Mus musculus: one gene and its partners. The protein of the gene in region 3 purifies or fractionates together with the protein of the main gene of each other region. This does not show direct contact. Links are inferred from orthologs where the notes say so. Each region holds a gene or a part of one and is shown on either strand. Other genes may lie near its edges.

The links.
Region 1: the proteins of Usp18 (region 3) and Skp2 purify together in Homo sapiens (affinity purification with western blotting; 4 studies listed by BioGRID and IntAct, with this or other methods). This does not show direct contact. The link is inferred for Mus musculus from reciprocal best matches to the Homo sapiens genes USP18 and SKP2.
Region 2: the proteins of Usp18 (region 3) and Stat2 purify together in Homo sapiens (affinity purification with western blotting; 6 studies listed by BioGRID and IntAct, with this or other methods). This does not show direct contact. The link is inferred for Mus musculus from reciprocal best matches to the Homo sapiens genes USP18 and STAT2.
Region 4: the proteins of Usp18 (region 3) and Map3k7 purify together in Homo sapiens (affinity purification with western blotting; 4 studies listed by BioGRID, with this or other methods). This does not show direct contact. The link is inferred for Mus musculus from reciprocal best matches to the Homo sapiens genes USP18 and MAP3K7.

Annotation. Positions count from the first base shown.
Region 1 is NC_000081.6:9,114,087-9,121,275, forward strand, and holds part of Skp2 (S-phase kinase-associated protein 2), read right to left. Parts: intron 3,057-7,189; coding exon 3,005-3,056; intron 2,883-3,004; coding exon 2,775-2,882; intron 1-2,774. UniProt on the Homo sapiens protein: Substrate recognition component of a SCF (SKP1-CUL1-F-box protein) E3 ubiquitin-protein ligase complex which mediates the ubiquitination and subsequent proteasomal degradation of target proteins involved in cell cycle progression, signal transduction and transcription.
Region 2 is NC_000076.6:128,281,972-128,289,160, reverse strand, and holds part of Stat2 (signal transducer and activator of transcription 2), read right to left. Parts: intron 7,060-7,189; coding exon 7,042-7,059; intron 6,450-7,041; coding exon 6,356-6,449; intron 6,049-6,355; coding exon 6,004-6,048; intron 5,929-6,003; coding exon 5,845-5,928; intron 5,678-5,844; coding exon 5,579-5,677; intron 5,478-5,578; coding exon 5,342-5,477; intron 5,235-5,341; coding exon 5,182-5,234; intron 5,064-5,181; coding exon 4,969-5,063; intron 4,215-4,968; coding exon 4,078-4,214; intron 3,890-4,077; coding exon 3,707-3,889; intron 3,501-3,706; coding exon 3,443-3,500; intron 1-3,442. UniProt on the Homo sapiens protein: Signal transducer and activator of transcription that mediates signaling by type I interferons (IFN-alpha and IFN-beta).
Region 3 is NC_000072.6:121,242,534-121,250,505, forward strand, and holds the start of Usp18 (ubl carboxyl-terminal hydrolase 18), read left to right. Parts: upstream 1-3,372; 5' UTR 3,373-3,529; intron 3,530-7,972. UniProt on the Homo sapiens protein: Interferon-induced ISG15-specific protease that plays a crucial role for maintaining a proper balance of ISG15-conjugated proteins in cells. Regulates protein ISGylation by efficiently cleaving ISG15 conjugates linked via isopeptide bonds.
Region 4 is NC_000070.6:31,972,257-31,979,445, reverse strand, and holds part of Map3k7 (mitogen-activated protein kinase kinase kinase 7), read right to left. Parts: intron 4,624-7,189; coding exon 4,513-4,623; intron 2,123-4,512; coding exon 2,057-2,122; intron 1,016-2,056; coding exon 970-1,015; intron 1-969. UniProt on the Homo sapiens protein: Serine/threonine kinase which acts as an essential component of the MAP kinase signal transduction pathway. Plays an important role in the cascades of cellular responses evoked by changes in the environment.

The DNA of each region.
Region 1 (7,189 bases), on a different chromosome or scaffold from region 3:
AAGCCTGTGCGTTTCATTCAGGGCGGCTCCCGTGGAACTATGTAGTTTTAATTTTTTATTTCATTTTTATTTATTTAATTTTTTAAATTGAGCTGGAATTTGCCACCTTTCTTAGTCCACATAGCTCTCTGGAAGGTCTGCTGTGATACGGGAGCTAGCAAGCCAGACATGGTCAACATTTCACTGTGATGTAACACATGGAAGTTAGGTATCTGGCCATGATCTTTCTTTGAACTATGCACTCTCAACAGAGGCCACCCACAGACCTGATGGCGGCTTAACAATGGTTCACCGAGGCCTTGCTTCACCGAAACCCACCAGTGACTTCCTTAAGGTGTTCTCTACATGGGATTACACAGGCTACATATAAAAATCTGGGATACCAACTTACAGCAGACAATGACCTTTTCTTTCCATATTTTTCCCCTATTACTGGTAGACAGGCCTTTTTTGTATACATTTCATGTTACCCGATATACAGTTTTGTTATCGGTGAGATCTGAGGGTCACACAAACGTGACCCTGATTATCTAAAGAAAACACTTTCTGGGTTTTGGTGCCGATTCTTTTTAAACAGGTCTGTATGCCCAGCTTCATCTCCCTGGTCTGTGTTTGTTCTAGGTTGGGACATAGTGCAAAGTCGAAGGACAGGGAATGTTTATTTTGGAAATTCAGCAACCCCCATCCCCACCCCCCCAGGGGATCAGTGAGCACAGCAGTGACCTTTATGTTGTCACAGTCAATATGTAGTCAAATAAAGCCGGTTTGTATTGTCACTTGGCTGCCAATGGCTCAGCCTTCCAGCATATTCTATACAGTGTCCATGCTACTCACCTGTCTGCACTGATGCCCCCTGAATGGCTGAAAGCAGATGGTTTGTTAGATCTGAGGCCCATCTGTGCCGAGGCTCCATGGTCATCCCATTACCCCTCTAGTGTATGAATGGTAGAGGTAAGCACCACACTGTCTACTGCATGTGGTGGGGTACAAGATGCAGAGTAAGTTGGTAAATAGAAGCAGGACGTAGAAATGAAATGTGTTGGCTTATAAGGGGCATCGAGTTCAGGAGGTCACAAGAGATCAAAACAGAAGAGGAACACATTCCATCTTTGAACTTCTGGAATGTAGAAACAAACAAAGAACTGCCATGCACTGTAGACGAGGTTACACCCATCACCACTAAAGAGGAGAGCAGTCCCTAGTACAACTCCTATGTGACATCTGAGAATGGGGACACTTGGGAGAATTCAGGTTCTGGGATATCCAGGCAGCCAAGCTCTTTGTCATCTATGGTGGATAATATTTAAAAGAAGAAGCTCGGTGGGAGTAAGGAAAAGCGAGTGTTGGCAGATGGCAGAGGGAGCTTCGTGCAGCAGCTCTGGGAGGCGCCTCCTGGCCATCCATGCAGGAGGCAGGATGAGACCCCACCACAAAAACCCATCACTGCCTCTTGTGTGCATTGGCTACAATGCCGGAAAACCAGTCAGGGGCGTCTGACTTTTCAGCATGAGAGGAACAGGATACGTTTACAGGATGCTCTTTAATCTGTGTAAAATAGTTAAGATAGCATCTTTTAGGGCTCTTAGTTCAAGTTTAATGAAAAGGCAGTCATCATACAAGAGGCTGAGGCTGGATCATAGGCCAGCTTAGGGAATGAATGGTGAGACTTGATCTCAAAAACAATAAAAAGACACTAAGTCAGGCCTTGCCCCTTCCCATCTCTGAGATAGGACATGAGCTATTTTTCAGTGTGTTTCCGGCTGCTGTGTGGACAGTGTCCTTGAGACACACTGGTATTTCTATTAAGAACTTCTGATGTGTTCCTCACCTCAAAGACACTAGAAGATCCTAGGAGTTGTGGATGCTAGAATTCTGCATTTGGGGATTTGTATCAGAGTTCCATGCATGTGAATTTGAGCTGCAACATTTGCATCCTTTTTAGGTAGTGTTTTTCTAAACAGGACACTAGCTAGCCAACACACATGAGACTAGTTAAAATGATTGGTTTAGTCACATAATTACCAGACTTCCCAATTTTACCGAATTCTTTATAGATCATTTATTACTGAAACTGATCTAATCCATTCATTTGAGAAATAATTTGTTTTTAAATTCACCATTTCTAGGTAGGAAGAATTAAAAACTGGCATTCTGATAGTAGGATAAATAGTACCATACTCTCCTCTAAGCCAGATGACTCTTCTGCAGTATACCCGGGAGAGTGCAAGGTTCTAAGCCCTAGTGGTTTGCAGTGAAACTGCTGTACACTTTTATTTGGTGTAAGGAAGACTTTGGAATGAAGTAAGCAATGCCTGCATGAGATTCTTAACTTTCATGGACCTACATAAGATGCCCTCTTTTCAGATAACATCAGGCTCTCATAGACCAGTTCTTCTCACCTCTTCTTACGATCCGAGATGCCCATCATTAGATTACAGGAATTCCCTGTGAGCTTTAAAAATGAATGGGAGATGTTTCCCACTCACATTGGGCATGCCTTCCGTGCTCTCTGTGGGTGCCCCAGAGGAAAAAGCCTCCTTCACAGACACTAGGATAGCATTCTAAGACAGTAGCTGTTAGTTAGTTAATAAGCTTAGTCGATTCAGGATTACTGGACATTCTGTGAACTATTTCGATATTCTTTCCTGGGCATTTTGTGGCACATCAATATCAATGTTCATGCTTTGAACATGTATTCATCCATCTAAAGATGGATTTTACTACCGAGTTTTGGCCTGTGCTTTTTCACCAGCGTAAATGTAAATCATACTTACAGTAGAGTATCAGGTATTATATCATAGCACCGGCTGAGCGAGAGGTGTTGGAGGTAGTTGAGTTGAAAAAATTCTGGAAAGCAGTCATTCTTTAGCATGATACTGTCACTGCAACCGAAAGGAAGAGTCAAACCATGATGGTCGAGAGTACTGCTGCTTAATCCCTGCTTTAGGTCCTCCCCCAGTTCACAAACAGCCAATGTACTCCAAAGTTTGATCTAAAACAGTACCTTAAGTCGAGGCGGATGAGGTTGGGGCATCGTTTAATTATGGTACAAAGATCTAGAAAAAGGCAAACAGATGTCATGGTCATGGTCACTGTTAAACAAGGCAGGAGGAGGACGTATGGGGCATCTGAGGCAGGCAGATAGAGAAGTTTGACATTACACAGGACTGTCCCAACATAGAAGTTTCCTGCCGAGGGCATCCAGGAGAGCACCTGGGAATCTGCCGTAAATGTTAAAGGAACTGTGGGAACCCCTGGATTACAACTCTTTATGTAGCAAAGTAACTGGCTGGAAAGACCAGGAAATCCCAATTCATAACAGAAAACAGAAAGACAAACCCCAATAGAACCAAATGCCAGTCCATAAAGGCAAACAGCAGCTTACCAGGAGGTCTCTTCAGCTCAGTGAGGGGAATCATGGACACTTATTAAAAAATTGTCCTGCCATAACTGTAAGAATGAGTTTCCAACTCAGATTACAACCCAGTAAATTCCATATATGTTTGGGTTATAAATGCAACTTTCAATGAATTACTTGCGGACTCTCGGGTTAGGTAGAGAGTGTCCACACAAAGAAAAGCCACCTGTAATCCCAGGGCAGAGAGGCAGAGGCTGAAGAACTGCTGCATACGGTGGACCAGTCTAGACTACATAGCCAGTTCTAGGCCAACCAGAGCTAGATAGTCACACTCTGCCTCAAAAATAAAACAAAGCTCTGCCATGCTAATCATATAGAAGTGTCGGAAAAATGGTGTGTTTGACATAAGCTAAATAGATTAATAGTCTTAAGGATAAACAATACGGGCCGGGTGGTGGTGGCACGTGCCTTTAATCCCAGCACTTGGGAGGCAGAGGCAGGCGGATCTCTGAGTTCGAGGCCAGCCTGGTCTACAAAGTGAGTTCCAGGACAGCCAGGGCTAAACAGAGAAAACCTGTCTCGAAAAAAACAAACAAAAAAAAAACATAAAAAGGATAAACAATACATCAAGAGCATAAACATCTGCAGAAGGGTGGAGCAAGAGATACTAGTGAAATAGCTGCCTAGATGCTCTCAGCAGAAGCACTAGCCATCAGGCCTCACAAGTGCGGTGTGGAAGGAGAAACAGACTCCAGCAAGGCCTCTGATCATCATGCATTGGCCATGATACATTCCCTGAGAGCCTCCGCTTTCCAAAACAAGTAAGTGGAAAACAAATGCCAGGAAAGGTTTTGCATGAAAAACAAAACAAAATACACACAAAGTGCACTGTAATCTTCACCAAAACACACAACCTCCTACAAGTAGAGAAAAGGAAAGGGTTGAAGGGACCATGCCAGGCTGTGACCTGCCTGCCACTAGAGCGAGCACTGGGATTATACACTGTGCAGAAATTGTAGGAGGGTGACAGTGACATAAACTGAGGTACTTTTTAAATGGAAAACAAATTTTTAAAATGTAACTGATTTAAAATAGATACCTCCACGTAATGTTTGAGTGATTACTCTCATAGATGTATCTGTGGTCACATTTCCTCTATATTAGTTTTGTATTTTCAAATCTTTCTCAACATACTGATTTGGCTATGTGGCACTCACCCAGATTTATGTCTAAAACAGTCCGTTCCTGCCCTGGCTCTGTCCCTGTCCTAAACTGCACAGCACCTGATAATGTCATGGGTTCAGTGTCTTAGGCCAAACTTTGGAGATCATGAGATCACAGTTAACTGTGTTACTTCCTCTTCATACCCAGTCTGCTGTCACCAAATCCTGTTATGCCAGTCCCAAATGTGCTCAGATCTGATCCTTTTTCTTAGCACCTCAGCCATTACCACCCTAGTTTCCTAACTGTCCTCCCTGTTTGCCCCTCCCCCAACACCCCCACCTCCAGCCTTTTCTCAATGTGGCACCAGAGTGCATAGTTTCAAGGGTAGGTCAGGTCACAGCACTGCCTCGCTCAGCATAGCCACAGCTCCTTCCTACTGTGTTGGCGGCCTTACCTCTGCTACCACCTCATACCAAAGGCCTTTGTACCCATGGTCCTTTGCTCCACCTCATAGGTTAGCTCCCACACCAAAGGCCTTTGTACCCATGGTCCTTTGCTCCAGAATGTTCTCCCACAAGCGCCTACGTATTTCTCATTTAGATAAGAGGTCTTCTCTTTGGTCACCACATCTTGCACCAGAATGTCCTTCCACAAACCTCTATGTATTCAGGTGTTTATAGGATCAGAGGTCCTCCCTGGCCGTTCTATACAAAGGCAGTCCCTTCTTGCTACAGGCGACCTACCCACTCCGCCTTACTCTCTTCCCTCCATTCTAGCTTCATTCATAGCATTCAGGAAGTCTGCTCGTGGTGTGTCTGTTTTGCTCTGTGTATTTTTATATCATCTTGATTTCTGAGAATAGCCATATAATTATTCTATAAGAATATAAAGTGTTTAAAGGGAAAAATGTCGAAGTACCGCATAAGGAGTGATAGGAAATCAAGACATGGCTGCAGTTTTACAGGTCTACTCTGCCTCTCTGTCTGAAGACAGGCACCTGCAATGACAATGGTTCAAATGTAGATCTCAGACCACTCATGAAGACCAATTATGTTAGCCTGACAGATCTTTCTTCTTCTCAAGCCCCAGACAAACAGTTTCCAAATACAACCTAAGTGTTAGGATGCATTTCAAGATGTTTGGTTCACATCTTTTTAAACATAATAAGTAAATTACCTCTCCCCAGGGTGAGCTAATAACACGCTCAAGACACCGGGCGGGGTTGATTTTAGTACCTAAATTGATTTGGCTTCATGCAGCTAGATTGAATATTAGCCCAAGGCTGAGCTATGGAGTAACAAGAACAACAAGAACAACAACAAACACCATTCCTTTTGCAACCTCTTAGCTGTACAAATTAAGACTCTCAGTGTTACACACAGAGCACAAAAACAGCCAAGTGTCAGCTTGACCAACACTATGGTTATTCCCCACCTGACTTGAAACGCCTGTGTTCACCCACATTGTCTTTTAGATGAATTAAAAAGTTGAAGGTGTAAATGCTAACTTATCAGGTTTCTAGTTGGATTATTCAATCCTAACAGTGTTGACAATTTTGCTGGATTTCTGTGCTGTTCAGCAGCAGTTCTGGCTGCTGACCACTAGATGGCAGCAGCACACCTGCCCTGAGACTGTCAAAACCATTCCTTTGTAAGCAAAGCTTGCTCCTAGATAAAAGCCACTTCTCAGTCAAGGCATGCTTTTGTATCCCTGGGAGAATGACTCCAGGTTCCCTTTTGGATGCTCAAATCCAAGGGCACTGAAGTCACTATGCACATCTTCTTGTCTGCTTACTTATATCTAATATGATGTAAATGCTGTGTGTTACACTCAACTGATCAGCGACTCATGCCGAGAAAAGTTCTTAGATGTTCAATACAGATACAGTAGTTTTTCCTGATTATTTTTTGATCTGTTAATGGTTGAATCTGGATACAGAACCCATAGATTGAGAGGGCTGACTTTATTGTATTTACCTACATTTACATTGGGGTCTGCATAGTAATTTTATTTTAGTAAAACCAGTTCTTCTGGGCAGTGGTGGAGCAGCACTTGGGAGGCAGAGGCAGGCAGATTTCTGAGTTCGAGGCCAGCCTGGTCTACAGAGTGAGTTCCAGGAAAAAACAAACAAACAAAACACCAAAACAACAACAACAACAACAAACCAAAAACAAACCCAAAAAACAAAACAAAAAAACAGTTCTGGGACTGAGGAGTTGGCTCAGTCAGTAAAGTACTTGAGTTTGATTTGTAGCATTTGTGAAAAAAGAACAACAACAACAACAAAAAAACGAAAAACCCCCCAAAAACCTAGGCGGCATAGCATTTACCTATAACCTCAGGACTGGGCAAATAGATGCTTGCCTGCCAGTCTAGCAATATCAATGAGCTCCAGGGTCACTGAGAGACCTGGTCTTATAAAATAAGGTAGAAGGACTCAAAAGGCGGAGCTGTGGCTGAGAGCACTTGTTGCTCTGGCAAAGGACAGGAGTTTGGTTCCTAGAGCACACGAGACAACAAGGGGTCTGTTAACTCTAGTTGCAGAAGGTCTGATACCGCTACAGACTCTGCACACACATGGGATACAGGCAGAAAACCCACACATACAAGGAAACATTAAAAAAGAAACATGGAGAACTACTGAGGTGGTCAGTCACCCAATGTTGA
Region 2 (7,189 bases), on a different chromosome or scaffold from region 3:
CACACACACACACACACACACACGCACGCACGCACGCACGCGCGCACACACACACACACACACACACACACACACACGCACGCACACATACACACACAGAGTACAGTTTCCTCAATATACTGGAAATCCATCTGCAGAAGAATTAAACTAGATATGTATAATCTGCCACATATAAAAATCATGAAGCCAGAAAAATGGCTCATGAGGTAAAGGCAGCTACTACTAAACCCAACAATTCAAGTCCAATCCCAAGACCCACACCATAGAAAGTAGGAACCAACTCTTGCCAATTGTTCACTGACCTTTATACATGGGTTGTGGTACGCATACACATGTGTACACATACATACACACGTACAGAAATAAACAGGACTTAAAAATCAACACAGGGGGCTAGAGAGAAGGCTCGGGTATTGAGAGTGCACACTGAGTGGCATAACGTACGTAACATAAGTGCAGAGGACTCATGTTCAGTTCCCAGCACCCCTGTAAGGAGATTCACAACTGCCTGTAAGTCCAGCTCCAGGACCCCGGTCCTCTCAGAGCAGAGGACTCTGGTCCCATGGGTGCCTACCCGCCTATGTACATACCCCCCCACACACACACTGGTCCCACAGGTGCCTACACTCCTATGTACACCCCCCCACACACATATACATAATTAAAAAATACCTCTCACGCAGGGCATGGTGTCACACACACTTTTAATCTCAGCACCCGGGAGACAGAGGCAGGGAGACCTCTGTGGGTTAGAGACCAGCCTGGTCTACAGATCAAGTTCCAAGGCAGCCAGGGCTACATAGAGAAACCCTGTCTCTGCCTTGAAGAAAAAAACCAAAGAAACAAACAAAAACTCTTAAAGAAAAAAAGAAAACCTACCCAAAAGAGATCAAAGACCTAAACATAAAACTTGAAATTAGCCAGGCAGTGGTGGCACAGGCAGGCAGATTTCTGAGTTCGAGGCCAGCCTGGTCTACAGAGTGAGTTCCAGGACAGCCAGGGATACACAGAGAAACCCTGTCTCAGAAAAAAACCAACAAAACAAAACAAAACAACCTTGAAATTATAAAATTCTAAAAGAGGGCTGGAGAGATGGCTCAGCCATTAAGAGGACTGTCTGCTCTTCCAGAGATCCTGAGTTCAATTCCCAGCAACCACATGGTGGCTCACAACCATCTATAATGGGATCTGATGCCCTCTTCTGGTGTGTCTGAAGAGAGCAACTCTGTATTCATAAAAATAAAACAAATAAATCTTTTAAAAAAAGATATCTACCAGCCAGGTGTGGTGGCGTAGGCCTTTAATCCCAGCACTTGGGAGGCAGAGGCAGGCGGATTTCTGAGTTTGAGGCCAGCCTGGTCTACAATGTGAGTTCCAGGACAGCCAGGGCTACACAGAGAAACCCTGTCTAGGGAAAAAAAAGACAACTTAAAAAATAAAATTCTAAAAGAATGTCTAGGGGAAAAAAAAAGACAACTTAAAAAATAAAATTCTAAAAGAAAACCTTGCAGAGAATTCTGCTCTTGCAGAGGTCCTAAGTTCAATTTCCAGCACCGACATGGGACAGCTCACAACTGCCTATAACTGCAGACCCTGGAGATGGGAAGTCCTCTTCTACATACCACACACAGACACATATGTATTATTACAATAAAATAAATCTCAAAGGGAAAACCTTGCAACTGTGCTATAGACAATAACTTAGCCCTGAAAGCATACAAAATAAAAGCAGAAACCAGATCAACTGCAATTAAGTCAAACTAAGAAAGTTCACAGCAAAAGCAACAATCACCTGAGTTAACAGGCAACTTGCATGTGGGAAGTAACACTTCTAAACTATTCACTCAACCAAGACTTAATATCCAGGAGCTATAAGGAACTAGAAAACCCTCAACAGTAAAAAGGGAAATAAGTGGCTGGAGAAATGGCTCAGTGGTCAAGAGCACTGGCTGCTTTTGCAGAGGACTGGGGTTTGGTTCCCAGAACCTGCATGGAGGCTCACATCTTCTGTAACTCCAGTTCCAGGGGATCTGGTGACCACTACTTCTGGCCCCTGAGGGCACTCAAGGCATGTGGTGCACAGGCACGGAAGCCAAAGCCCTCCCACATATCGGTAAAAGTGAATATATCTTCAAAAAGCAAATAATCTTATTTACAAATGGCTCAAAGAGCTACTGTTTTTCTTTGAGACAGGGTCTCATTAATGTAACCCAGCCTGGTCTCAAATGCTCAATCCTCCTGCCTCATTTTCTCGTGTGCTGGATTACAGGCCCATGTTGCCACCCCTGGCTTGGGTTGAAGACCTGCACAGACATTCCTCAAAAGGAGGATACACACATGGCAAATGGTATGAAAAACAGGCGTTTAACTTATTATCGGGAAAATGCAAACCCACAGTGGGGTACTGTGTCACCGTTAGAATAGCTAATTAAATGAATCCCAATCCCAGGCGGAGCAAGCTTACTCCTATAACAATTCTAGCACTCAGAAGGCCAGGGCAGGAAGCCTGTCACATATTCAAGGCTAGTGAGGGATAGCTACATAATGAACTCCAGACAAGCCTGGGCTTCTTCCGAGTGTGATCCTATTTCAGAAAACAAACAAATGAAGGACAGAAAAAAAGAAATGGGGGTGTAAGCCCAGCACTTGGGGAGGCTGAGGAAGACCAGCCTCAGCGACATGAGACTTTGCATCAAACAAAGGAGTAAGCAACAAAGGTGGGTCAGCGGTTAAGAGCAGTACTGATGCTCTTTCAAGGTCCCAGGTTTGAATCCCAGCACCCACATGGCAGCCCCCAGACTTCTGTAATCCCAGGACCAGGGATTCTGACACCTTCTTCTGTCCTCCACTGCCACCAGACACAAAAGTGGTACACGTACATACATGCAGGCAAAACGTGCACACACGTAAATTGAAAAATAAGCCGGGCACTGGTGGCAAGTGCCTTACCTCTAGCACCTGAGAGGCAGAGGCAGGGAGACTAGGTGAGTTCAAGGCCAGCCTGATCTACATATCCTGTTCCAGGCCAATAGCTCTGTCTCAAACAGAACAACCACAAGAAAAGAAGTCGACCAACTGATTGACTGGTTGACTGATCTGACCAAGCCGTGTAACTTAAAAGACACTCACATGACCACCATTGCTGTTACCTACCCCAGTGGGTCCTCTAAAGGACCGAACAAAAAAAATTTTTTTTTTTTCAGAAAATCTATTACTGTCATCAGGAAAGGTCCCGTTAACAGGAACGGTTGTGATCATTACTATAAGGGAGACAGTGGAAAGACAGATGGCAGCAGGAAGCCATGAGAGAGGAGCAGCTCAAAGGGGGAAACACCAGAGGTTGGTGAGTTAGGGAGGGGGGAGAGGAGTGGGGAGCAACTGGAATTAGGCAGCTGGAAGCACTGTCAGCCAGAGAACTCCCAGTGAAGGGTTTGTGTCTCACCTGTTAGAGATCACAATGAGTTTATGTTTCAAATATTTCCTCTGTTCTTCAAAATTAACTGTGGGGAGACAGACAGGAGATGGGAGAGATCAATTTGCTGGTCACACAGGTCAGCGCTCCCCTATTGCAAGACGGTCCTGACAAGGTTACCTCCTTACTGCACACTCTGTATAGCCCTGTCCTGCGTGTGAAGGGAGGGAGCCGAATCTATCAATATCTGACAACACTTTCATTCTAGGAAGGATGTATGTTAAAGACCCCAACCTTTTTCCTGGTAGTAACACCCAAAAGCTTCGTCCCGAGGGATTCGGGGATAGAGGAAGCGGAGTGGGTTCTCGGGGATGTTCTCTTCGGCAAGAACCTGGTAGTGGCGGATGATCTCTGTCAGTGGGAGTGACTGTAACACTTCCTTGGTGTAGGGCTGCACTGAGTAGATTTCGACTTTATCTGAAGGACATAGTGTGGTAACATGAAGTGAGTGAGACTAGGCCCGGGGTTCCCAGACCAAACAGACACCGACCCCAAACAGACACCACCCCCACTCCAAGAGCGGACCTAGGGTCAGGGTGGGAGGGTCCGTATGGGGTGCCTGGCAGAAAGCAGACTGCAGGAATGGTACGGGGGAGGGTGCTGACCGTCATCCTGGTGCTCCACCCAAGAACAAGTAATGCCCCCTTCAGAAGTTTCACTGAAGCGCAGTAGGAAGGTGCCAGACAACATCTTCTTCAGCAGTCTGCGTTCCTGGTTGCGGCTCACAAAGCCCATGATGCGCCTGGAGCAGAGTAGACAGACTGAGGAGAGCACCCAGGTGAGGGGTGAGGAGATGGCTCTGCAGCGAAAGGTACCTCACGCCAGCCTGGTTGCCTGAGTTCAATCTCTAGGACCCACATGGTGGAAGGAGAGAACCGACCCCTGTAAGCTATACTCTGACCTCCACATGCACTCGGGTGTGCGCAGGCAGGCGCTCCCACGTGCACACACAGACAGACAGACAGACAGACACACAAAATAAATACATAAAAATATAATAGGGTTGGGCATAGGAGTGAATGCCTTTAATCCCAGCGCTTGGGAGGCAGAGGAAAGCGTAGACAGACAAATGTGGTCTACACAGCAAGATCCAGGACTGTCAGCCAGAGCCACATAATAGAGACATACTGACACACCTCCGCGCCTCCACTCGTGCCCCCCACCCCGCCCCCACAACTCTGTCCATTGATCGAGGAGTTCCCAATTTCTCTAAGCGTGTTTCCTCATGGAACTGAAGGTGGAAGTACTCCGCCACTCAGTGTGGTCAGAGGGGTTGCGCGAACAGAAGCACCCTGCAGGCTCCAGGCTCTGCAACACAGTGGATGCTTGACAAATTCAGACCACAACTGCTATTACTAATGGGGACTTGCACCGTATTGGGTTGGGTTTTTGTTTTTGTTTTTTTGTTGTTGGTTTTTTTTCTTTCCCTTGTGCCACCAGGGGGCGCCCAAAGTGCAGTCCTGAGCTCAGTTAAGGAAATCGACGCCAGGCCTTACCCATCCTTCCAGAGATCCTTCAGGTGGTCGTGCACCAGCTCCAGAATTTTGTCCAGCCAGGTCCAGAAAGGGATCTTACCAGGGGGGCTCTCTCGCTGAAGGAGGAACAGAGAGGCAGGAAGGGATGTGGAGCTGCCCGTGGTGGGGGGAAGGGAAGAGGTGTGCCCAGTGTTTGGACCGGGGACTAGCGGGACACAGGCTGCAGGGTGTTACCTTGCAAAAGTCTACCCAGGACAACAGCGCATCCTCCATCTTGCAGCTCTTTCCTGTGGATCAGAGTCACAGACGGATGACTGAAGGAGGCCAAGGCCAGGCAGAGGACTCTGGTAGGGGCAAGCCAAGGCTAGGGAATGACCAAAAAGAAAAACCGTACCAAACAGCTTGGTTCTCAGCATGCCCAGCTGCTCAGAATCGAGGCCTCGGCCAACGTAAGAGGAGAACTGCCAGCTGAGCACAGGTCCCAGCAAACTCCAGGGGGCTTTCGGAGCTTGGCAGAAGAACTGCTGGTTCTGCAGGGTTCAGGTGAGCCGGCTCAGAAGCAGCCCTTCCTGCGACCTCTGCCCCTCACCCGCTCGCCGCCTCCGCTGCTGCCGCCTCCTCCTCCTCCTACCTTGGGATTTGGGCTGAGCATGTTGAACCAGAGAATGGAGGCCCAGGCAATGGAGAGTTGGTTCATGTTAGAAATAATCACAACAGGGAGAGTGTCCGTCTGGGAGGAAGACCGGAGTTATGGTGGAGAACGGGATGTTTATAACTGCAGGCATCTGCGTCCGTGCGTGGGCAAGGACACCCACTCCAGGACGCTTCTGTTGGTGCCCTCCTTGACCCTTCCTCTAAATCTGCTGCCTCTCTCGCTCCCCGCTTCCCGTCACTCACCTGCAGCTTCATCTTCAGACCCTGGTACACGTACTCAACCACGAAGCTGATGACATGTAACTCCTCTGTCACTGCCAGCGGCCCCTGAGGGGTCACAGTGATCAGAGCCTGTTGAGTCCCTGGCCTCAGCTCACCGCTCCAGTGACCCGCCAGCCTTACCTTGTTGCCCTTTCCTGCACCCACAGCGCGTTGCTCCACCAGAGTCTGCGAATTCAGGAAACACAACGTCAGGGAAGGGACCCAGAGGCCAAGGCCTGGAAATGCCCCAGCTCCTGCTCCTCCGGATTAGACTCCAATTTTTTTTTAGTTTGTTTGTTTTTGTTTTGTTTTAGTTTTGGTTTTGGTTTTTCGAGACAGGGTTTCTCTGTGTAGCCCTGGCTGTCCTGGAAATCACTCTGTAGACCGGGCTGGCCTCAAACTCAGAAATCCGCCTGCCTCTGCCTCCCAAGTGCTGGGATTAAAGGCGTGCGCCACCACGCCCGGCTTAGACTCCAATTCTTACCCTTCTTACCAAGAAGCCGAAGTCCCAAATTAAGCCCTGTCTCTGGCCCTCCTCCGGGGTCAAGGTTTTTTGGTTTGAGGTCAGAATGTTGAACTTCCGGAAGCTGTTCCAGGGAGAAAATATGTGGAGACAAAGAGCAGTGTTAGTGTCTTCGTTTCTCTCTCTTTCTTTCCTTATTTCTTTGTGTAGCCCAGGCTGGCCTTGTATTTCCCTACATTTCTCTTGCCCCTTTGCTCTGAAGTACTGAAAGTTCTGGTGTGTTCCACCATGGCTTGCTCAGAGTTAGTTTTTAAAAACAGCAGGAAAGGGATAGTGGGTTGACTCAGCAAGTAAATGGGCTTGCGGACAAGTTTGAAGACATGAGTTCGATTCCCAGAACTCCATGGTGGAAGGAGAGAGCATGCCTACTAGTTGTCCTCTGGTTTACACATACTTTCATATTTTTCTCTCTTGATTATGTATGTGTGTGTGTGTATATACATACACACACACACATACGCACTCTTTTTCTAAGCAAACTGTAAAAAAAAATTAAAATAAATACAACTTAGCAGTAAACCAAAATTCCACTTCACTTCAGACTTCCCCCTCTCCTTTTGTCCATGTGCCCCCCCCAAGTCCCCTTCCTCCCTTGAACCCCCACGTGTGTTTGTGCAGGTCATAAACACATGTACATGTCCTTATCAGGCACTTACCCTGGTAAGTCTGAATTCCTGAAAAGAAAGAGAAAAAAAAAGTCACTGGGAGGTAAAAGTAGTCGGGAATTTGGTCTTGGTAGTCAGAGAGACCTAGGCTCACACTGCCTTTTGAGCTCACAGCGACATGGCATGGCCTGGCGCAAGC
Region 3 (7,972 bases):
TCTTCTGCCAGTGGGGATTCCAATAACACCGACATCACTCCAAGTCGGCAGTCCATCACTCCAATGGACCAGCCAGGAGAAGCTCCTGGGACTCAAATTCACTTTTGGAACAAGTATTATTGTGGTTTGAACTTAAATTCTTTCCTCTCTGGCACTGAAAACAAAATAAAACAACAACAAAAACCAAAAACATAAACAACCCCCCCAATTGTATTAGCAGCCTTCAGAAAAAGATATATTACCTCATAATTCTGTTTAATATTTAAAAATTTGAAAGCATATAATACCTATGGGAAAGCTGCACTCATGTCCTTTTCTGTACCCCTAAAAGGGCAGGTTCTCTTTCCCTCTTTCCTTTCTTCTTTCCTTTCTGCGGCAAAGTCTAACGTCGTATACCAGGCTGACCTTTAACTTGAAGCAGCCTTCCCTTCCTACTTCTCCTTCCCAGGTGTGGGCATTGCCGATGTGTGCCACCGCACCCAGCCAGAGTACGCTTTCCAGATGATGTTTCTTCTCTCTGATGCCAGAGTGGGAAATTATTACCACTCAGGCTTTCTCAGCTGCCCCCCGAACATCCTTTCCAGCGGAAAGATCCAGTTCAGGGCACGTGGTTTACCTTCACTACCGTGCTCAGGGGCTGTTCCTCATACCTTGGATTTTGATAACCTCGACTAGAAGACAGCTAGCTGATTTGCAGAACATCTGTCACTTGGGGTTACTCAGATGTTTCTGTGGAAGCAATCAGGGCAAAGGTCGGTGACAGGAGAGTAACAGGAGGGAGCTGTGTCCCTTTCTGTTCACGACATCCTGTTACATTCTGTTCCTCGGAGTGACTGCAGCTGTGCAGACACCAGTGATCTCCACTGCTGCGGGAAGGACACGGCTGGCTTTGTGACTACTTAGTGTTTACACCACTTGCTTTATCTGCAGCCACAACGTAGCATGACATGCGGGATGCTGCCGGTCATTGGTGTGTGTTCCTGGGAAAGTCCTTGGACGCTGTGTAAAATACCCAAGCCTCCCCCACTCTCAGTTTACTCAATTATTCACTTGCATTGGTACAGAAAACCATCTTCTGACTTCCCTCCTATTCTTTGAGCATTTGCCTTTCGGCAGAAAGGGGTCTGCTTAGGTTCCTCTTGTGCTTTTCTTTGCCCCAATCCGGGAAACACCATCTCCCTAAGCATCTCTGGTTTCTTTTGTTTGAGAATAACCACTAGAAGCCAGAAGCCATGTTGCCTCTGAGTGTCATCCATCCATGCACTCTCAGTGGGGCAAGCTAGGGAATGTACGCACACATACACACGCACCCCTCTCTAACTACTCACCGAGAACCACGGATCTATGCGAACCCAGAGCTGCAGGTCTTGGGTCCCATTCTTCACCTTCAACTCTATTCCGGGGCAATTTCAAGCAAGTGACCAGTTCTAAACTGTTGTGGATTTGCTCACTTAATTCTGCTTCTGGGCATAACTAGTCTCTCAGCTCTACCAGTGCCCTCTCACGTGGACCCATTCCTCACCCTGCCCGTGTCTCCTCAACACATGGAACCCCACTCCAGTTCTCTAGGCTCTGAGGCCCAGGCGAGCCACATCTGCTCTATATATGAATGGATTCTCTAACTAGAGTAGGTTCTGACATGGGTGGTGGGCATATTGTCTCTCCACCAAACCACCATCCTGGGTCACTGTGGGGCACTGCTGGAATCTACTTCAGGAATGCTTACCAGCTCAGTCTACCACCTGGTTAGAGCCCTGAACTTTTCTGAAAGGCAAGGAGAGACCAGGGGTAAGAGCATGGAGAGTCCTACTAGGAGTTATAATGGGTTCTTGCATCATCTAGGTATCTCCTGTCCATGATTGACACTAGTCCACTCCGTACTGGTACAAATGCCAATCACTTGCTTCACTGAACAAGCAGGGTTGGGAAAAAAAAGTTGCTTGGCTATAAGGAGCTGTTTGCTAATCACCACTGGGAACAAATACAGTTTGTTCCCTAGAACTCTACAGGTACGATATATTGATCAAACTATCACATTTTATAACATCCTCTTTTCATCCTCCCCCCCCCCCCCACCAGTTTTTGATGTTCCTGTTTTTGGATACAACCAAACAGATAGAAGAAGAAGAAGAAGGAGAAGAAGAAGAAGAAGAAGAAGAAGAAGAAGAAGAGGAAGAAGCTGGTCACATAATTGATTGATTTGCAAATGTATTGGAGACTTAATGTATTTGTCCATGATATGTGCAGATGCCACATTGTCTACCTCAACCACTGATCAAGAGACTTTGTTTTACCCTGAGGGCCATACCCCACTTTCTATTTCCAAACATGGACATCTTGGTTTATTTTCAACAGCTGTGTATAACTCATGCTTCACACACACACACACACACACACACACACACACACACACACACACACACACACACACACTATAGGCAGGCAGACATATTTGTATATCTTACGTTGAACTACAATAGCAAAACAGAATATAGACTCTTCCAGATTTCATAAAGTCCTGGTAGCTTTCGATTAGGGGTATGTATCTCTCTGTCATCTTTGTCCAGTGCTGGGGGTAGGGAGTGGAGGACCCCTCTCAGAACAAGCGCATGGGGAAACCTCATTCTGACTAGCCCAGCAGCTAACAGATCCCCCTCTCCCTCAACTTATAGCCTCATATACAAGATACATCTGTAAAGAGCTAGCAAGCATTTCATGTATGTACATCCCAGAGCCTCCAAACCCGGCTCGGCTTAGACTGTATTTGTTCCTCGCAGAGCTGTACCTTCATGGCCACCTCGTGTGCTAACTGCAATGGTCTGCTATTTTCCACAAATGGTGGGACTGGTCAGAGGTCCCGTTAGAATGTTGCTTTCAGCACTTAGCCATTTGTCGTCCTGAGTTAGTCATAACCTCTTTGATAAAATAAAAACATTTTATCCTATAGAATTGGGGTTAAACGTAGAGGCACAAAAGAACATTGTGCAGATAAACTTATCTTCAGTGTTTAAGGATAAGCCTGGCAATTAACAGAGATGAAGTAAATGTTATCGCTGTCTCCTTACCCCCTGGGGACAGCCTCAGCAAGGGAGTTATCTGCTGCTGGCTTTCAGAGCAGAAGGTACAGCAACTGGGAGTATTTCCAATCTTAACATTGCAGATGAAAAAAGAGAGCGTATCCAGGAGTTACCGGGCCAGGTCCGGCTTGTCGTGTCCTGGTGTAGGCGACTGGACTGCGGGTTCTGTAGGGGCGCGTACAACCGCTCCGCCCGCCCGCCCGGTGCCTGAGTTTCGCTTTCCTTTGGATCTAGGGGAAAACGAAAGCTTGGCGGTGAGGGGGGCGTGGCCAGGCGTGCAGAAGGCTTGGCCGGCAGTGCCAGGGCGGCTGTGCCTAGGGGACAGCAGACACTCCTGAGCTGAGAGGCTGGGAGGCAGCAAGACTGCTCTGCTCCGCGGTGCCGCGTCCTCTTCTGTAGCCCTTTGCAGATGCTGCTCGGTCTTCGCTCTTTGGCTTGACTCCGTGCTTGAGGCAAGTTTGGGGCTAACTTTGAAAGTGTCCTTTATCCGCCAGAACTTTGCTTATACATCTCCAGATGATTAGGAATTTCCTTGGGTTCTGCAAATAGTGGCGGTCTGTATTCTTGGCATGTATATACTGGGCCAATGGATTTGCTTCCCAAGCATTTATATTATTCAGACTGTAGTCGTGATTTATGTTTAATTTAAAAAAGTAATTACCAAAGTGGCTTGTTAAAAATTCAAACAATGCAGACAGATGTGTAGAGTTGTTTCTCTTAATTTGCAACTCAGTATCATTTTTATGTATACTTTATCAGAAACATTTCTAATGGATATCTTTAACATTGCTCTGTGTCTTGCTTCTTGTTCTGTGCCTTTCTAGACCAGTATTTTAACTGATGCGTTGTATGAGAAGTGCGGATTTAGTTAAATAATTCATGGACATTTAGGTTCGGTCCTGTTTTTCCTGGGATAGACGTTTTATCAACAAATATCATTTTTATGCTCTTGTGCAAATACTCAGTCACACGTTAGGAGAAACTCCTAAAATAGAAACCAGCGGACTGAGAAACCGGAGAGATTTTTGTCCAGTATCATAAGTCAGGGTGCTTTAGACCTGTTCCCTGGCCTGTTTTTCCATCTTCTGTAAAGAAAGCTAAATATACCTTTAAGAAAAAACAACAACAAAAACCAAACAAACAAAAAAACACAACCTCCCCCAACTCCCCTGGAAGTCCAAGTTTGTGGTGTTTCAAAATTACAACTTAACTTCATACTTAATATCTTTAGAATTAACTCAAAAAGTGAGGCAAATATTTCAGAACATTTTTAGAATGTTTCCTGTGAAGTGTCCTTTGTGTGTTTGAATACCGTCACCTCCTTTGTTCATAAGAACTAACTGGGCAGAAAGTGGCGTAGCAGATGAGGTGTATGCTCCCTTCTGACTCACTACGCACTAGCAGAAGACTTTAAAAAGAGAGAGAGCTTTTTGCTTGCTCTCTCTCTCTCTTTTTCTTCTTCTTTTTTCACTCTGGAAAACCGTGCTTCATGGTCTTGGCACTTTTACGCAACATGATGTTTATAAGGAAGAAAATCACGTTGTCTCCCAATTGAGTGTATCATGTGACTGGGCTGTGGCCAGAGCCCCAATGGGCACATGAAAGGTGTATCAGCATCTCCAGGCTGAGGGCATGTCTAAGGACAGGCTAATGCATATCATCCCACACCGGCCAGAGGAGCCCCAAGTAGTGTGTTAGTCTGGGTTTCCTCTGGAGAGATCTGATTTTGTCTGTTACAGCACCATAGCTCAGAAGAGGCGAGCAGATTGTTAAGAATGAAGGCAACGCCCAGAGCAGTAGTTCATACCTTTAGAAATCCCAGGGATTTTAGCCCTAGGAAGGCTGAACGAGGCAGGGGGAGTAGAGTTTGGATCTGGTGTTTCAGCTCACACTTGTAATCACAGCATTGGAGGGGGCCGAGGCAGGAGTTTTGCTGAGACTCTGAGGCTAGCCTAAGCTACATAGTGAGATCCTATTTAAAAACACCTGTGCGCAAAAGTTTGAGGCCAGGGGATTTCAATACCAGGGCTTGTCTCAGAAGGTTTGAAGACCAGGCTACTTAGATATTGCTGGCATTGTGAATTTTATCGGGCATTTCTATCTGGGAACTGCTCTCCCCAGACCCCCAATGTGTAACAGCTAGGGAGGGACTCACCACCCAGAATTCCCGTATTGTGTCACTGGCTCGCTAGCTCTTGCTCTCAAGACCCTTGCTGATTCTGTAGCCTGTGGTGGTTATTTCCACCATCTCTCCTCATTGCAAGCTTCAGCAAGGATGGAGGTAGTCTTCTGCTTTGGAGTCAGCATGCCTCGAATCAGTGCATGAGTTTGGGAATGCAGCGTTCTCGGAGCTGGCAGCTGTATGCCTGGTTCAGCCTCATCCTGTCTGCCCACTTGCCCGACCATCGTACATCTCCACTTCCTTCCTCATGGTGCTCTGCCTACCTGCCTGTCCTCCATGCGCTGGCTCTGCTACCCAAGCCTGAGCTGTGTGTGTGCTCTGCCCAGTGAGAGAGCTGCTTCCCTCAGGCCAACGCTAGACTATGTCTGTTCCATCTGTCTGTCCATCCGTCCATTAGTTCATTAGCTATTAACTCTGAGTTCCAGATAATGAACTGATTAGCAGTAAACAAAACCTCACGTATTTGTTCTGCTACCAAAGCAAACTGCCTCCGAGCAACAACCCACCTTCCTCCAGCCTCATACCCTTGCCTCCCCACAAAGTAGTTATCTAAATTTGATTTTTACTTTCTATTTAGAATTTTATTTTTACCATACACAAGTATTGACAATTTTCCATTGACATTAAGTTTGAATATATAGTAAGAAATCAAATAATGTTTTCCAAATTTTTCTCGTGGTGGTGGTGGTAGTGATGTGTGTGAGTGTGCGTATGAATATTTGTGTGTGTTTGTGTCTCTGTGGATGTATGCGTGAAGGCCTGAGGTCACCTTCAGTGTAGTTCCTCAGTAGCTTTCTATATTGTTTTTTGAGACAGGCTCTCCTATCCTGGAGACTATATGCAGGTGTGCACAACTGGTTTTTTTATGTGAGTTCTAGGGGGTCAGACTCAGGTTACAGACTGAGTCATCTCCCCAGTCCTGTGATTGGCTGTTCTGAGCAGATATTTTGTTTTTAAAAGATTTATTTACTTTTGATTTATGTGCCCCAGGGTTTGCCTGCATATGTGTGTGCATCACACAGAACAGGACCCTCAGAGACCCTAGAGCTGGAATTCTGAGTTGCCATGTGGGTCCTGGGTTCTCTGTAAGAGCAGCAAGTACTCTTGAGGCTAGGTCATCTCTCTAGCTCCCTTGAGTAAATATTTGGCTTCTGAGATTCAGCCTGTTGTGACATGTGCTGTAGCCTATCCACAGCCATTGATGAATGCACGTTATCTGTGGGCTGTATAATACAAGCCATGCTGATATGATCGTGTTTCACATGTCTCCAAGGACACATTGGAGAATTTCCTTACAGGGGTTTAGATGTAGTTCAAGTGTAGATCAGTTGCCTAGCACTCCAGAAGGCCTAGATTCATCTTAAGCACTGCAAACAAACTAGCTAACAGAGAGGGGGGGGGAGGGGAAAGGGGAGGAGAAGGGGAGGGGAAGGGGAAAGGGGGAGGGAAGGGGGAGGAGGGGAAGTGGGGAGGGAATGGGGAGGAAGAGGGGAAGGGAAAGGGGGAGGGAGAAAATTTGGCATTGAATTTCAGTTTAAAAGATGATGATATGAAAAATTTTCCTCAGTTGATTTGGGTCTTTTTATTACTGTCTCATAGTATCATATAAAATATCCTATTTAGGAGGCTGGCATGGGATGGCAGTGGATAAAGACATTTGCTGCCAAGCTGGACAACCTGAGTTTGATTCCTGGGGCCTATGTGGAAGGAGGTGACTGGCTAACAGGTTGTCTTCTGACCCCCATTTGTGAGCCATGGAATTCATGTATGCACACACACACACACACACACACACACACACACACACACACACACACGATAGATAAATAACAACAAAAACTTCTAATCTTTAAAAATCATGTTTAGGTCCAGCAAGATGGCTCAGCAGGTAAAGGTGTGTTCTACACAAGCTTGGGGCCCTTGTTCAACCCCCAGACGGAAACCACTCAGTTGAGCTGTCTTCTGGTTTCTGTGTATGTGCTATGGCACACATCCATGTGTGTGTACACACACATTCCTAAGCACATATCCATGTGTGTGTGTGCACACATACATTCCTAAAATTTAAAAAGAAAAAAAAATCCTATTTACCCTTCCCCTCTCCAATACTTAGTTCAGTAAAAGTTTTCAATAGACATTTCATTTTTAATTGGCACATAGGAATGGTACCAATTCCTCCTGGGTGTGGTGGCCTTGTTGCCTGCTATTCTGATACTCAGGAGGCTGAGGCAAGTCTTGGCTACAGAGTAACATCTTTCCACCACACACCCTCCTCAACTGGATTTTTATAATCAAAGGCATAGTGTATTGCTTCTCAATTCAGCACATTTGTAGTGTGTGGTGATCAGATTCTGTCAGAATTACTGACTGTTCCCAAAGGGATAGGGTAAAATGACATCATATCATGGTGTCACTTGGGTTGCCACGACTGGTAGCTTACCAGTTAGTAACTTTCTTCACTGTTGGTGTTTCCTTCCATTTTCTGTTTGGAGTTACTTATGCAAATTTACTTATGCAAATCTTCTTAAAATGCTCTGTAAAACTTACCCATATCCCCTTTCCCCAGAAAACCAGCTTTTCCACACCACCCATATTACTTTACTCTTTGCATCAAGATTCAACAAGGTCTCAATAAGGTGTCATTCTGTAGCCCAGGCTGGCCCCAAACTTATTATTCCTTTTCCTCAGCCTCACAAGAGCTGGAATTACTGGT
Region 4 (7,189 bases), on a different chromosome or scaffold from region 3:
GAACAATATTGAGACAAGATGGCCATATAAGATGCTTACAACTATCCTGTGTATTGTAGCTAAAAAAGTAGCAGTTTTCGCAAATAAAATGAGAGCAGTAGACACAAATCAACAACGACGACAGTGGGTATAACTAAATGTGTATGTAAAATAACGGTAACTTAAAAGTAAATGCTATTGGTTTTATAGAGCTCTCAGGGACAAGTCACACACACATGAAGTTGGTATTTTAAGGGTAATGCCAGCAGTGCAGAAGGTTTTGTGTGGTAGCACTGGTAGTTTGAATGAGAATGGCCCAATGGACTCATGTGTGGAAATTTGGCCTCCATATGATGGCACTGTTTGGGAAGGACTGGGCGGTGTGGCCTTGCTAGAGAAAGCATGTCAGTGGAGGTGGGCTTTGAGATTTCAAGACTCTGCCATGCCCAGTGTGCTCGATGCCTTCTCACATGCTTGCTGCTACAAAGCCCCACCCTCTGAAACCGTACGCCCGATTAAACTCTCTCTTATTGAGTTGCCTTGGTCATGGTCACGATAGGAAAGTAAAAATCTAAAACGTTCTGTGACGTTTGTTCTTGCCATTTTATGTTTTGAAAAGGAAGCGTTATAAAGCACGGTAATATGAAATATAGCCCAGAGTTCTAAAATGAAGGCTTCAAACTAAAAAACAGAAGGGTGGGAAAAAGTCTACACATATGTATTTAAAAACAACTGTTACTTCACAAACTTTGAACATAATATATTGTTAACTTAAAAATGTATATAAATGTCATACATCGTTCTTGCCCTAAGTCCTTAGCAGTGAAAACAAAACCAAAAACAAACAAATGAACAAACCCAAAAAGCACAATGACTTCCTCTGAGAACTCTGAAGGTAAACTGTGACAACAATAAGGTGATTTAGTTGTTCTTAAAAGCGTTCCAATTGCTTCAGTCTCCTAGGTAAAAGCAGGGTTAGTGAATACTCACCATTATACAATGAGCCCCCCTCTGCATATTCCATCACAAGACATACCTAAAGAAAATATATGCCAGAATTTACTGGAGTGGCAACATTGTTAGGCCCTCCCTGCTGAAAACTTAGTTAACTGCCTGACTGTCCTGAAAATTATTCTTTTGGCTCCTACTCTGTGAATGACACTAACAGAAGGTACAGGTATCTGTGATCAAAGAACTTGTCTTCAAGGTGTCTGCTCAGATTAGCATAATATTACTATACATTACATAATATCACTAAATTAATATCTATTATAATATAAAAATACAATACTATGTTATATATTAGTATAATTATATAAAACTCATATATATTATATTATAATGTAATAATATATAGTTATATATGATATAGTATATTATAATGAATATTAATCTATAAAATAGATCACAAAATTTTGGGGAAAAAGAATTATAAGACCTTTTGAGGACCAGTGCTAATAAAGCTATGTTCTAGGACATCAAGTCTTACAACGAGGTGAGTTATGGGTTACCTCGGTTAGTGAGGAGAACGGACAGGAGGGGTATGCACTACTCCACGACAGCACAGGCTTTACTCAGATGGGCTATAGTAGAAGAAGCAGAACCCACTGACTGCTTACAGGTAGGCAGTTACAGGGCAGAAAAGAGGAAAAGGAAAGGACTGACAAGTTCCCCTTTGTTGGCCCTCACTGACCACTGTCAGGTTAGCTAAGGAAGGCAGATGAGTGGGAACACAGGAATGTCAGGTGATCTGTCTTGGCCAACAATTACACGCATGGTCCATCAGTGGGGAAGGTAAAAATTTGGAAGAACAAATTACATTTTTTCTGGAATTTAAATTATTTTGAGAATAAATGTTTACTCAAGATAAAGGAGCACTATAAGTTGGTGTGGCCAAGGCTAATAGGTACCTGAGATGACAACACCAACATACTGTCTTGTTAGGGCTTGAAGCAAACGAAATGCAGAAAATATTTTCAGAAATAAAGCTACAGTGGAACAGATGAAAACAGCCTTATAAATCATATAAACGGACACACTTGCCACTGTTTCCTGTAGGAGATGGAGAGGGACTTACTGGATTCAGGCAGGCTCCATACAACTTGACAATGTTAGGATGGTTCACACGTGACAACTGCCGGAGCTGCAACAAATTATGGGTCCTTAAGAAGTGCTGGGTTTTCAGGTGCTATGTACCCGTGCTGTTCAAATCTTATATAGAACATTTGTTCAAATCATACCAGGTATGTTCTGTTACCACGATGGCCACAGGCAGTGGCAATCCCCAGTGCCTGTAGAATCCCTATCCTACAGTTCAAGTGGGGACACAGACATAATCAAATATATGAAGACAGAGAGATCATTAAACCATGCACAAAGTGCTGTAATGGGAGTTAAGAACAAGCCAGGATAAACTGAGGAAACCAGCTGCCAAAAGTCAAGGCACCATCTCAGTTATGGTACTGACTGAGCCACCCACACCAGAAGTGTGGTACTTTCCTACAGGTATCAATTTACTTATTCTGTATGTATTCCTGCTGCGTTCAGACTCTGAAAGATAGGACCTATTACTTCCATTTTAATATGACCCTTGAGGTTAAGCTCCAGAGAGGATAAAGCAGCTGTGAAAGATTCTATAGTCAGATTTGAGCTTCTGTTTACCTGACATGAAATACATGCTCTGTCTGAATAGTTAGTTGCCTCTAATTTCATTTCCTGTCTTGTAGTTACTGCAGAGAGCTTGGTGTGTGTGTGTGTGTGTGTGTGTGTGTGTGTGTGCGTGTGCGTGTGAGTGGAAGGGGGGGGCATTCAGTTGTGGAGCATTTGACTAGTACGCCTTAGGCTTTAGCTCCAGTCCACCATATATCCCAAGTCAATCCCCAGTACAAAAAAGTGGAGAGGAGCTTCAGGGGTAGGAGAGACAGACTGACACTCCAACTTCCGGTCTCAGCCTTCCCCAAGCCAGGAATTACACTGAGGCTGGTCCCCAGTGTAAGGTATCAAGTTTCTGCACTGTGTCTTTCTCATACAACATCATGTTGCTCCTTCTCTCTCCCTCGTCCCCCTCTTTCCCCTGCTCTCTCCTGCTTTTCTCCACAGTCCCATAACTTAACCTCTTTTTTATCATATGCCACTGGACAGTTTTCTTTATAGTTGATATTCATGGACTTTTCATCCTTAGAAAATTAGCGGACTCTTTTCTAAAATGTTATTTCATGTAACTTTTTACTATTATGTATTTATTATCTATCAACATTCCATCTTGACAAAACTCATCATTAACTTCACATAGCACATTATTCAAGCATGTTTTTCCGTTTTCTCTGAGTCTCATAAGTAGGTGAGGTTTTGTTGTTGTTTGTGAGGTAGAAACTCAGGAGGATGAAGAGACTGCAATGAGATAATAGTATACCATCTGGAAGTTGACAAGCTAGTGATGAGTAATAACTGGCCCAGCAGACCTAGAACCAAGCAATGAAAACAAGAGCAGCAACATGGTTAATTTCATAAAACCCATTATGTAGAAGAAACTCAAAACGAATAAAGCTGATGTTATAAAGGGCTTACTAACAGATTTTTCTAGGAGACAGCAACCACACAGACTAAACTTTAAGGCATTGCTGCCTCCAAAATGCCCCAAAGCTAAGTAGTCTGCTAACCAGACAGAAGGTGATGAGCTAAACTACTTTGTTATCATGTAAATGTCTGCTCACCAGGATTCACTGGCCACCCCCAAAGAACTTGCCTCTAACTGGCTGCGTAAGGGGCAGCTCAAGGTCACAGCTAAAGTTAAGTCCTGGGCTGCATAAAGCCCCCTGTTCTCTTCTTGACAAAAACATAATTCTGCCAGATGGGCAAGAAGACCCTAGATAACAACCATTTGAAAAGAAAAAACCCTGGTTATAATAATAATTCTGGCACTATGCAAATCTCTCATCTGTGTAAGTGGCCAGACTTACAGTCTCCTGACTTATATTTTTTAAAGTGTAACCCGGGGCCAGGACCTAGAAGAGATTTAAGGATGACAGAATCTGTGGAATGCATAAGCCTAAAGTGAATTAAGTTAGTAAATCTTTTATTTGAGGTTGGTCCCTCTTTGGGTGCTAGCCACAGTTGGCCACACTTTCAGTCAAGAGCTTTTTCTTATAAGTCTAAGTGTGTGGAGTAGTTTCTCACTAGAAAGGTGTTTATTTCTATAACATTCTAAGAAATTCTTAACTTTAGGTATTGGGAGGAATAATACCACTTTAAAATTAAGATAGGAAACCTTGAGATACATTTGGAACCCGTGGATAAGTGCACTTGAATTCATGGAGCGACTCTTGTAACTATACTTTCCCCTAATAACTTTTAACCAGAATTTAAAGCAAAAAAATGAAAAACATTCCTATGGAGGCACTACTTTCAGTTCAGTCAACTGCTAACGTCCATGTACACAGAAAAAAGAAAGGTGGGAAACACTGTGTTTTATAGTCTTAAGATCAGAGTAGCTCTGGTGAAGAATTAGTGGATACAAATAACGTCTCAGCTTACCTCCACAATGAAAGCCTTCCTCTCAGACTCACTTTCTATCTGTTTAATAGCGACATCTTTTGCTCTCCACTTAGCTTTGCAAACTACTCCAAAAGCTCCTCTTCCGACAACCTGAGTTAACAAACAAACAAATAGAAAACCCCCAAAAATCAGAAGCAGAGTTTAATATGATAGAGGCAGTTTTTAAGTCTCATCAAAGGTTTAGAAACCACCATTATCTGAATTTGCTAAGAATGAGTTTTTCATTAAAGTGAAGATAAAATGCAGTTTTAATCTTTGAAATGAACCTCTTAATTCTAAAGCAGAAACACAAAAAATACATGAAGACATAAGGCAATTTTTAATCACAGTAGAAAATTAAAGTAAAGATGATTGAGAAGTGGTTCAGAAAAATAAAAATGAAAAAGAACATATACTATTTAAAGAAAATAAAATCAGCTTTCAAATAACTCTAATTGGGGGTAAGAAATGGAAGGAAAAGGGCTAAAGATATATATAAAAGGCCCACTATGAAGGACACGCAAAATGTGTTACTGTCTACACAATGACCCCCACCCCAATACCTCATATTACAATGCCCATTTATAAAATGCCCAGGAGAAATCTAGGGACAGCAAGCAGGTCAGTGATTGCCTTGGGATAAGGATCAAAAAGGAATTAATGTAAACGGTATCCTGCCAAGGTGGTGATGTGTTTGAAAGTTGACTGTGATGGCTGACAACTGGGTAAATTCACAAAAATCAATAAATCACACTTCACATGGGTAAGCTTTATGATAGGTAATTAGCTTATTACTTTTAAAAAGTTATAAAAATACAGACCAACCATATGCCACATTATTGCTAAAACTAATGGCTATCACATGGGCACACTGCTCTGTCAAGTTCCTCTATTTTAAAAAATACTTAGAAAAATCCAAGTATTTTTAAAAGCATTAAAAAGCAAAAATGAAAATTAGCGTGGTATCTGTCAGATCAAAACCATTAGACTGTTACTGTGAAGGGCACTAGGTTCGCACCTTCATCTCCAATCTCCTACCTTCTATGTAGCTAAATGCTATGGCAAGGTCCTTTCCTCAAGGAAAGGTCCACCCCACTCATTACATCTTTATAGACTGTTTGCTAGTTGGCATTGAGAGAGTGCTCTGCCCACATCCCTCTTTATAAAGCCTCACAAGGAGGTGCTAATGTTCTCCTCATGTTACACGTAAAGCACATGGCTTTAAACATGCCAACTCACTCTCTCAGCCGTACACAGGTAACAAACAGTACAGGACAGTTAATGGTAGGCAACCCAACACTAGAATACCAGTGGTTCTAACATGTATGGCACACTTCATATACTAGGATCAGTTATGTGCTCCTTAGGTGTGAGTCCACTTAAGACAACTTATTATATAAAACTCAACAACAAAGTTGGGCATAGCTAGTGATCGTGATCAAATAGTTGTTCTTCAAAATCTACACTGGGTCGATCACTTCCCAAAGGGAAGAGGAGACACTAGGGCAGGAGCTGTAGCCTGGGGTACGTGAACTAGCTAGTCAGGCTCCAGTTCCACTTCATAGGCTGTGTAAAGCGTGTAACTACTTCTCAGTCAGTGCTCACCACAAGATGAGCACATTCTGGTGGTGTTTTCCCCCAGATTAGCACAAGTAATCCATTTCCATTTGAAAGGTAAGCAGTCATAGGGATGCAATTTAGTCACATTACACAGTAAGAAAGTATTCCGAGGCAGGATCCGAAACCTACAGCTTAGCATTACCAGCACATGCTATGGTAATTCATACTCAGCTTAAAGGTAACAAGGCTGCTTAGATGCAAAGTCCCAAGTAAGCCTGGCTCTTTTGGAGACTTTTTCCATTTCCTGGTCTTGGCCATTCAGAGACCATCTTGTTTTCCAAGCCTCAAAAAGAATCCAGCACTGGTGATTCATGCTCAGCATCCAGTTACTTTAGGAAGATTTAGGAATTGGCTTTGGTTTGAATATGTCAGTCTTTATAATCAAGCTTACTGTTAGGTGTCCTGCTCACTGTTAGGTAAATTAACATCTGAGCTTTTTTTTTTGGACAGTAAAGCATAGATGTTTATATTTTCTTTAGTGAGTATCTATAGAGTTCCTAAGTTATTTTCCTTACTGAGTGTCTATAGGGTTCCTAAGTTATTTTCCTTCATATCTATGGAGATAAGAGTATCTAATAGGGGGTTATAGAATCAGGCTCTTCCATAAACATTATAAAACAACACCCAGAGTTGGGTTTGAATTAATACAAGGAGCCAGAGCACTCATTTTTCTCACAGGAAATTAGCAGCAAACAGATCCTACAAGATTTCAACTTCATGGTCATAATCAACTTAGATGATACACACGGATCAGTCTGCCTAAAGACATTATCATTAACTATGAAGGAATGATTATAAAGCATTAAGACATTCAATACACTTCAATCATGTGCCCACAGATTAATCAGGGCGAGCAGTACTTAGCATTATTAAGAACGTCTGCTCTGAGTGTTATTTGTATTTGTGGATTCTGTACTTGTCGTAACTGTGTCGAGTAAGCATGACCATCTGTGATCCTCAGGTGCCACCTAGTGATGAAATGACGACTCACTCTGAGTTTTCAACTTCAAACCAGGGGAACTAAATGTGAGCAAATAAATACATGATAAACTCTCTT